Mus musculus: one gene and its partners. The protein of the gene in region 2 interacts with the protein of the main gene of each other region in a pairwise test. Links are inferred from orthologs where the notes say so. Each region holds a gene or a part of one and is shown on either strand. Other genes may lie near its edges.

Evidence for each region. The genes of interacting proteins can lie anywhere in the genome.
Region 1: the proteins of Dazap2 (region 2) and Tent5b interact in binary tests that used the Homo sapiens proteins (3 or more experiments, as listed by UniProt). The two-hybrid records come from large-scale screens. The link is inferred for Mus musculus from reciprocal best matches to the Homo sapiens genes DAZAP2 and TENT5B.
Region 3: the proteins of Dazap2 (region 2) and Tollip interact in binary tests that used the Homo sapiens proteins (3 or more experiments, as listed by UniProt). The two-hybrid records come from large-scale screens. The link is inferred for Mus musculus from reciprocal best matches to the Homo sapiens genes DAZAP2 and TOLLIP.

What each region holds. Positions count from the first base shown.
Region 1 is NC_000070.6:133,485,685-133,488,491, forward strand, and holds the end of Tent5b (terminal nucleotidyltransferase 5B), read left to right. Parts: intron 1-399; coding exon 400-1,419; 3' UTR 1,420-2,256; downstream 2,257-2,807. UniProt on the Homo sapiens protein: Catalyzes the transfer of one adenosine molecule from an ATP to an mRNA poly(A) tail bearing a 3'-OH terminal group in an ATP hydrolysis-dependent manner.
Region 2 is NC_000081.6:100,614,230-100,618,544, reverse strand, and holds the start of Dazap2 (DAZ-associated protein 2), read right to left. Parts: upstream 2,884-4,315; 5' UTR 2,834-2,883; coding exon 2,821-2,833; intron 2,496-2,820; exon of another isoform or gene 2,223-2,495; intron 1,633-2,222; coding exon 1,514-1,632; intron 621-1,513; coding exon 375-620; intron 1-374. UniProt on the Homo sapiens protein: In unstressed cells, promotes SIAH1-mediated polyubiquitination and degradation of the serine/threonine-protein kinase HIPK2, probably by acting as a loading factor that potentiates complex formation between HIPK2 and ubiquitin ligase SIAH1.
Region 3 is NC_000073.6:141,883,220-141,885,563, forward strand, and holds part of Tollip (toll-interacting protein), read right to left. Parts: intron 1,363-2,344; coding exon 1,148-1,362; 3' UTR 1-1,147. UniProt on the Homo sapiens protein: Component of the signaling pathway of IL-1 and Toll-like receptors. Inhibits cell activation by microbial products. Recruits IRAK1 to the IL-1 receptor complex. Inhibits IRAK1 phosphorylation and kinase activity.

The sequences.
Region 1 (2,807 bases), on a different chromosome or scaffold from region 2:
GGAAGACCTAGGCTCTGAGCTGAGTGCCCAGCTCTGTATTTACTGGCTGTGTGACTTTGGACAGCTCTCAAGCGTCTCTGTGCTTCTATTTCCCAACCCGGGGATGCAGGACTAAACCTTGCCTCAGCGGGTTATTATGAAGATTAAGTGAGGCTGTACTTTAATGTAAAGTGCTTAGTAAGTTCTCTGCTCGCCTTTGTTATTTTTATTGCTCCTCTGAGTCAGTCCTTTCAACTGGGCCCTTCTCCAGATTGGCAAATCGAGGCTTAGCGAGTTAAAAGGGTTCACAGAGCCACAGAAGCTGGTCAGCAGTGATGGATGGTGGGATGATTAATCATGGCGGTTGTCAGTGCAGACCCGAGGGGTCCAGGCGCCTGACCCATTTCTCCTCCCCTGCAGGTGGTCCGCAGCAGCTTGGAAGAACACGGACTGCGTGTACACAGCGTGCGCCTGCATGGCTCAGCCGCCAGCCACGTGCTGCACCCCGAGAGCGGCCTAGGCTACAAGGACCTGGACTTGGTGTTCCAGATGGACCTGCGGAGTGAGGTGTCCTTCCAGCTCACCAAGGCAGTGGTCCTGGCTTGCCTGCTGGACTTCCTGCCAGCGGGAGTGAGCCGGGCCAAGATAACGCCGCTGACACTCAAGGAAGCCTACGTGCAGAAGCTGGTCAAAGTGTGCACCGACCTGGACCGCTGGAGCCTCATCTCTCTGTCCAACAAGAGCGGTAAGAACGTGGAACTCAAGTTCGTGGACTCTGTGAGACGCCAGTTCGAATTCAGCATCGACTCCTTCCAAATCATCTTGGACTCGCTGCTCCTCTTTGGCCAGTGCTCATCCACACCTATGTCGGAGGCCTTCCACCCTACGGTGACCGGGGAGAGCCTCTATGGGGACTTCGCTGAGGCCTTGGAGCACCTGCAGCACCGTGTCATCGCCACACGCAGCCCCGAGGAGATCCGAGGTGGTGGCCTCCTCAAGTACTGCCACCTCCTGGTACGGGGCTTCCGGCCAAGGCCCAGCACTGACGTTCGCGCCCTCCAGCGATACATGTGTTCCCGTTTCTTCATCGACTTTCCGGACCTGGTGGAACAGAGGCGCATTCTGGAGCGCTACCTGGAGGCCCACTTTGGCGGAGCGGAAGCAGCCCGCCGGTATGCTTGCCTTGTGACACTGCACCAGGTGGTCAACGAGAGCACAGTGTGTCTCATGAGCCACGAGCGCCGCCAGACCCTGGACCTTATTGCCATGCTCGCCCTCCAGGCACTGGCTGAACAGGGCCCTGCTGCCATGGCTGCCCTGGCCTGGCGACGTCCTGGTTCAGATGGGGTGGTCCCAGCCACTGTTAATTACTATGTGACCCCCATGCAGCCACTGCTGCCCCGAGCTCACTCCTATCCTACCTGGCTGCCTTGCAACTGACTCTGATCCTGGCCAGAAGGGAATGAGCGCCATGGGGTGGGGTGGGGTCATCAGGTATGTGTGGAGGATGTAAGCAGACACAGGCCACCTGTGCCAGCTGGCCCGGCACTATAGGGTTGGGCCTTTGAACAGACCAGACTTTCCTGCACAAGGCTCCTATGGGCTTAAAGCCAAGTCAGGGTTCTTGACAGAAGGACCCATTGGTCATCATACTGTACTCTTGGACCTGCGTGACTGTGGGACACAGAGGCTGCCTGTCTGGAAATGACAAAGTCAGCTTGTGTGGTAGCCTCAGTAGCAACACCTTGGGTTGATTTCAATGGCTTAGAAAGGGTCAGCCCACAGGGACCCAGATGCTCCTATAGTGGCCACAATGTGATATCATGTGACAGGGCTATTCAGTTGGGGTACGGTTGGGCCATTCACAGAGCCTGGGGATCCAACCTCGCTGATCACTAGGAAGAGATAAACTAAGGCATAAAGCAACTCCTTGGGGTTTGGGTGGGATGGGAGTTCAGTCTCCTGAAACCTCCTTGCCCTAAACCGTGAGGATTTCCTGAGGGCCGAGGTATACAGTGGTGCGACCCATACACATCCCAGTGCCTCACCCATCTCCTTTCCCTGTGCCTTCCAGGAGCCCTGCTGTCTGGGCACTATTGTTGGAGGCTGCTGGGTTCCAAAGCTGCCACAGTCGAGTTGACCACTCCCTCCCCCCACTTGCTTGGTAATAGGACTCTCACTTATCGGGAAGGCGGCAGATCCCATCCCCTTGCCACACCTCTGGATTTGTTGCTATTTTGCACTCTTCCCACCAATAAAAAATGTCTGCACTGACCATAACTGTATCTTTCTCCTGGGAAAAAGCTCTCTATGGCCTAAGGCTGGCACTACCTCCCCAGGCAGAGCTTGCTTGTATTGTGGGGGGCGCCAAGGAGTGGCGTTGGAGCGTCTCTACTGTCCCCCAGCTTGGCAAATATGAACTGGGAGCATGGCTGGTCTCCATGTTGCCTCAGAAGTCTAGACTTCTTGTTAAAGGGAATAAATATTCATCTCTCCTGATTCTGCCCCTGGAGTCCTAGAGGCCCAAAACCTGGCCTCTGGTGAGCAGGTCTGCCCATTCCATCGAATCCCCAGGAATTGAGCAGGGTGACTCTGAAATGAAAGCTGAGGCTGGAGGACCTGGAGGGTCCCCCTGAGCCTTGGTAGGGTCTCTCTAGCAAGCGGACGTGAGCGTGTTCTGGCTTATTGTAAACTGGTCCTGTGGAGAGGGCAGGATCTCTCTGAAGTCAGATGGGGCCAGCTAACTGGGCCCAGGAGTGCAGCTTTTGGAGATGTTCCCTCAGGCCACTGGCCACTCGCCTCTGGACGCTGCCCACTGTTTACCCTGC
Region 2 (4,315 bases):
GTGCCTGAACAACTGAAAAAGGAGCTAGCAGTCTTTTTAAATTTATAGACAGGGTTTCTCTATGTTGCCCTGGCTGTCCTGGAACTCGCTCTGTAGACCAGACTGGCCTCAAACTCGGAGATCCCCCTGTCTCTGCCCCTAAGTGCTAGGATCAAAGGAAGATGCCACTAATTTAATAAGACAAGAAAACAAATCAACCTGATTAACTCTAAAACCAAGGGCTGTGTCCAATGCCCTGATTGGCCCGGCCACATTTCTGCTCTGAGAGGGCAGCAGCTGTGCCAGCCCTGACCACTATGGTTGGAGAATGAATATGAAGTCATTTCAGACTGTTCAAGTATACAAGGGCTGAGCTCCCAGTTAGGCATACTCACAGGAATGTTGCCAGCAGTGGCACCAGCTCCAAATCTGGCACCTGCATCATACCCTCCTTCCACCAACACTGCTGAGCCAGGTGGATAGATGGGACCAACTGGATAATAAGCCATGGGGATTGTGGAGCCTAGAGGCCCAACAGCCACAGACTGGGCCATAGGCAGATACAATGAGGCGCCAGGAAATGCAGCTGACATGGTGGGGACTGTGGCAGCCCCTGGATGAACAAAGCTTGGACGATAGAGCTGAAAGAAGCAGAAGAGAAAGCAAAACATTATTTTTGTGACATTCCTATTTGGAATCTCTTTAAGTATTATTGAGACCATCTCCTGTAGCTCAGGCTAGCCTTCAAGTATGTAGGAGTGGATGACCTTGAACTCCTGACTCTCCTGCTTTACCTCTTGACTATGGAATTAGAAGCCTGTGCCACCAAACCCAGTTCACATTGTGCTAGGGACCAAATCTAGGGCTTGGTGCATGCTAAGCAAGCATTCTACCAAATCAGGTACATCCCCAGCCCCTTGTTTGGTTTTGGAAATGGGGTTTGGTTATACTGGCAGCCTTGAACTCAGCTTCCTCCTGACTCAGCCTCTCAATGCTGAGACTACTCGCCTGTACCACCACGCATGGCTCATGAGTCCATTCTTAGTTGTTTTTTTTTTTTTTTTTTTTTTTAAGATTTATTTATTATATGTAAGTACACTGTAGCTGTCTTCAGGCACACCAGAAGAGGGTGTCAGATCTCATTACCAGTGGTTGTGAGCCACCATGTGGTTGCTGGGATTTGAACTCAGGACCTCTGGAAAAGCAGTGCTCTTAACCATTGAGCCATCTCTCTAGCCCCTTGTTCCTAGTTCTTGTGTTTGCAGATTACACACTGGTTATAGTCACTGGCACACAGTATTCTGAGTCATTTGCGTCCACAGCTACTATTGTGCTCAAGGGACCCAAACTCAGCTTAAGTCAGCATGTGTCAAATAGCATAATCAGATACTGCATTCAATTCCAATGGTAATTTTCACCTTAAGTTCTAGATGATTCACAGAGCATCCTTCTGCTTGTGAAGTCAGATTTGAAGACTTAACAAGGGGATCCAAGAGTGTTCTCAACTAGCTACAAGTCTAGGAAACTGCAGTACCTCTGAATATGCAGGTGGAGCATCAGTATAGGGTGGAGCCTGAGGAAGATGTAAGGTCTGAGGATATACTGGATTCCCAGGAGGTTGCACAGGGTAGGTAGGCTGTGTTGGATATTGACCTGGAATACAAAAGGGGAGGAGAGATGTTGTCTGTCAGATTAGGAGGGGAGGTGGCAAACAGGAAAGATGCTCAGTGTGTGAGACAAAGTGCTGCTCTTCCTGAGGACCCCAGTTCTATTCCCAGCACCCACATATGACACAACCTCCTTTCAACGCTACCTTCTGCCTTGGTGGGCACCTACACTCACACTCACAGACACTTACACAGGCAGAGGCAGGCACACTTTGAATAAAAACAAGTTTGTAAGCAGAGCTACTAGACGGGCCAGGGTGCACAGGGTGGGGAGCAAGCAGAAGAGCTGCAAATAAGGCTGCCTTATTTCTTAGAGCCAGGAAAATAAGGATGGTCTCGGCACCCTCGCGCCCGAAGGTGCTGGCTTCTGACTGGGCAGAAGGCGCCGTTCCCACTAGCATACTGATTGATGGAGGCTAACTTGGCCATGTTCCCTTTCGAATAGAGGGCAGGTCTGAGGACCCGTTCCGGGGTCTCCGGACTGCTGGTGTCTTAGGGGACTCCTCTGGGTGATCTCCCCCGGGCTGTGCTGTAACCAGTCCTGACTCTGTGGGACCCACGGTTCTCAGTGTTTACCTCACGGGTTCCTAGTCAAGGTCGACCTCCAAAGAGTGAGTGACTGGAAGTTAACCGTGAGAAGGGCGGCGGGTGGAGGGGTGGGGAACGCGACCATGTTCTCACAAACATTAGCAACGCACAGGGGCGGCTACGAGTCCGGGCCCCGAGGAGGAAGCGCCAGAAGTCCCCGGCGGGCGAGAACGGGTCCTCGAGGGCCTGGGCCGTGCAGCGGAGCCGGCACCTCAGCAGTTAAGCTCGGCCGAGGCCTGTTGTTCCGAGGCGCGGCGCCCCGCCTCCGCCCGCCCTCCATTGGCTTCCCCAAATCCCTGCTCTAGCTCGCCATTCGCTCCAGCCGCTGTCCGTCACGGAAAAGCCCCCCCACCCCACACACAGGAGCCCGCGGCTCCAAACTGCGCCACACGGTTTATGGGGTCGGGGCCCAGAGGGCCGAGCGGCTGCGTTGTGGGGGTGGAGGGGGGCGGCCACGTCAGGTGCGGCCGCGCTGTGCGGCCCGCTGAAGAGAGCCGCACAGACCGCCCCAGGCCCGACGTCCCCCAGCCCGCTCGACCCGAACCCGCCCGCTTCCCCGACGGCCCCCGCCACTTCCCGGCCTTGCCTTTGCTGTTCATGGTGGCTCTGAGTCCGCTCCCACTCGGCGTCGCGGACGGTTATTTTTCTCGTCCTCTTCCTGTTCGGAGTCACTTCCGTGTCACGTGACGTTCGTCCACTCTGCGTCAGGAGATGCCCGAGTGCGCCGCCGCCGGAAACCCCGCCCCCTCGCAGGCCGGCCAGTCGCGGCAAGGAGGGCGCTCGCGGCCCTGCTCTGCTCGGAAGCCCCGCCCTCCCCGCGCGCTCTGCCCTCACGGCGCGCGCCTCCTCTGGGCTCGGCCCCGCCCCTCCCTGCGCGGCTTCGCCCTCACCGCGCGCTTTGCCCTCACTAATTGCCCCGCCCTCCCTGCGAGGCCCCGCCCTCCTCGCTCTCCCCGCGTTCCTTGCTCTCTCTGCGCGGCCCCGCCCTCACCGCGGTCCTTGCTCTCACCGTGCGCCCCGCCCTTATCACGAGCCACTCCTTCCCGCGCGGCCCCGCCCTCACCGCACCGCTAGCCCCGCCTCCCTGAACGCTCCGCCTTCACCGCGGGCTCCTCCTTTCTGCGCGGCCCCGCCCTCCCTGCGCGACCCCTCCCTCACCGCGCGCTCCTCCTTTCTGCGCGGCCCCGCCCTAAAGAAAGCGGAGTCAGCTCATCTCAGGGCGACTTCCTCACTGTGAGTCGCCTCTGCTCACCAAATTCAGGTGTGAACACAGGCTGTCACGACTCCACAGTGCCTGCGAGACGCAGCCCAGACCTCAGACCTTAGCCTGTCCGCCGTTCTGGTCCTTCCAGGCCTCTTGTTGAGGGCCCAGCGCCTGGCTTCGTGCTCGGAGATGGACCGTGTCCCCGCGCCCCGCCCCCTGTCCTGAGATAGACCGTGCCCCAGCACAAGCTGAGGGGACGCAGCCAGCACCTGCACCCTGGCCTGGCACGTCCTACGGGGACCTGAAAACTCCCTACAGATGTTGTGAGTGGTTTAGCCCGCGCTCAGTTGTCCAGAAGAGTAGCGACGACGTCTCTTAGGACAGTGATCACATTTTTTCCCGTTTCCTCGTTCCAGAATATCTGCTGAGCAACCGAACGCGCTCTCATAGATGCACAGAGGAACCGACCGCCGCAGCTGTCTGCAGAAGTTCGTGTTGTGCGTGGTCAAGTAGATGGGCAGGCTTTGGAGGGAGAGGTCCTTGGTGAACGGACTCCTGATTCGTCCGACACCGAAGGCCTTGCTTGTGTGTCAGGTGTCTATTTAACAGTTTGCGTGGCGTCCTGTAAATGCAGTTTCGTCCAGTCGGCAAGCACAGCAGCCTGAGAGGCTGATCTAGTTCAGCCTGGGGACCTGCGCATGAGTGTCATGGGTTCACGCCGACACACATATAAAAATAAACATTCGAGAAGAAAAGAAAAACTGATCTAAAGGACAGGTTACAGACTTGAGTTTTGTGTTCGGCCTCCCAGGTTCCGGGTCAGTATTTCCATTTTGGTTTCCTGTCAGCACACAGAGCATCCCCTAACTAGGCTGCG
Region 3 (2,344 bases), on a different chromosome or scaffold from region 2:
CTAACAGCACCTTGTGACAGTACTGGTTCTGAGAAAGCTTTCACGGTCTGTATCTTAGCACAAGGCACCACTCAATTTCTCCCTAAATACATGTATGGCCAGGTCACGGGCTCAAAGGTTTGCAACCTAAAATACACTATACAATATCCACTGGTCAGGTACAGGCACCTCTACCTTTATGAAAGTTTAATTTAAGCATGAATTTTTATCACTCAAGCCAAGCTACAGTATGGGTCCACAGAGTATACTGCAGGTCAGTAGTGTCACAATGCTTGAATTTTAGTAGTAAGCACATAGTGCCACACCCACCCATCTCCTTCGCTTGACTCTGGGCTCTGTGATGAAGGTCTATCAACAAGAACAGCCCCTGGAGTAAGACCCATGATGCTGGTACTAAACAAGAGGATGTGGAAAGCAGCCTCCAGCAGTGAGGGCTAATGTGGGGCCTGGCCAACCAAGCACCAGGTCTGGATACCTTCTGTATTCAAGTTGGATTTCTGTGGCTGAAGCCTAGCCAGACAGTGGCAGATAAGCTAGACAGGAGGTTAGAGACCCACTGGATATGGCTGGGAAGCATATCTCACTGGCCAGGACTAGCTGAGGGGCCCATGTTCACATACAACATCAGAAGAGGGAAGGAGCTTTTAGCTTGAAAGTTCTAAAAATAACCTGTAAGTAAGTGCACATGAACTCAGTGCACCCTCAACAACCATCCCAGCTGGACTGAGTAACTCCATGCCATCCATCCATCAACTCAGAAGGATGCTGTACAATTTCTAGTATCTTGGCAGAGGCAGTTGCTTTCTGTAAGAATGCTTTCCAGAATAGGGTGAGGACAGGAGATGCAGGTCCCCAAACAGGACCACTGATCTGTGCAATAACAGGGCCATGCCACCATCACCCAGCTAGAGACTAGGAGAGAACTGTCCCCTAACTCTGTCCCCCAGCAACAATGAAGAGGACTGCCTGCTTAGAACCAAAAATCCACATGCATCCCCGAAATATGTAGGAAGGGGCGGCGCAGATGTCCAAGGAAGGGGTATGTGGATGGTCTTTCATTGGAATCTTGTGGGGATGGTGACCCTGGGGAGCCCTGGGTGGACAAGTCCAAGGGTCAGTGGTGTGAAGCCAAGGGCCACAGGCGGGTCTAGGACTCTTCACCCATTTGCAGCAAGGAATTGATGGCAGCATCTTTGTTCCCTCTCTGGGCTTCAAGCACAGAACGGATTACTTCCCTGTCCATGTTGGGAAACATGTCCTGGATAGCTTTGAGGTCCTCTTCATTACAGCGGGGCTGAGGAGCCACAGCTGGTGGGGGCATGGCCATCGGCACCATGCCAGGGCTGCAGACAGCAGGCATCCCTGAAAACAAAAGTTGAGGTTGGTTAAAAAGAGTGGGTTCAGCCAGGTGTTGTGGTGCCTGACTTTAATCCCAGTACTTGTAAGGCAACAGGAGAGTCTCTAAATTCAAGGCCAGCCTGGTCTACAGAGTGAGTTCCAGGACAGAGACAGTGGGATCACAAAGCTGCAGTGCCAAAGGAAGAAATAATACATCTCACTGGCCTCAAGGGAAAAGGCTACCTTAATCTGACTGGAAAACAGATCCCACAGGGATGCCCATGACAGATGGGATGGGCCATCCTCCTCACTACTGAGGCTCCCTCTCCTGAGGTATTTTCTTTCTGAACAAAAATTCAAGTTGAATATATCTAGTCAAAAATTACAGGGAGCAAGATGAAAATTTGGTAACCACATGTGCTACTTCAAGAACTTAGGAGACTCATCACGGACATGAGTCTTTACTGAGAATGCAGACAACAAACTAGTATGCTTGTTTTACCCAATACTCCAAAGTCCACTTGTGTCAAGATTCTAGAATTCACCTTCACAGCCTAACAAAGGCATTACAATAGTCATGCATATGGCAAGGTATAGCTACATAAAGTACTCCCTGAAAACTTCAAGAAAAGCTGCATATTAGCCTTTCACAATGAAGACAATACATATCAGAAAGTACATCACTTTCCAGCAGCCTGAGGTACCAAGGCCCCCAGTGGGGCACGGGAGCTAATCCTTTTGCCATGAGAGCAAAAAAGGCTGCTGGCAAAGGGCTTAGCACTGATGCTACATGGCTCCCTGCACCTTGTGATAGATGAAGAGGTACAAATTGAGAAACAGAGGCAGGTTTCCTAAGTACCCTCTGGGCCAGGCCATCACCTTCATGTCTCTGTCCTGACTGACCTAGACAGGCTGTCGTCAGTCTGTCACCTTACAAGTTGTCACCAGATAGTGGTGTAGCTGGCATTTGTTACTTTGTGGGTTCTTCTTTCTTCTACCTTTCTCC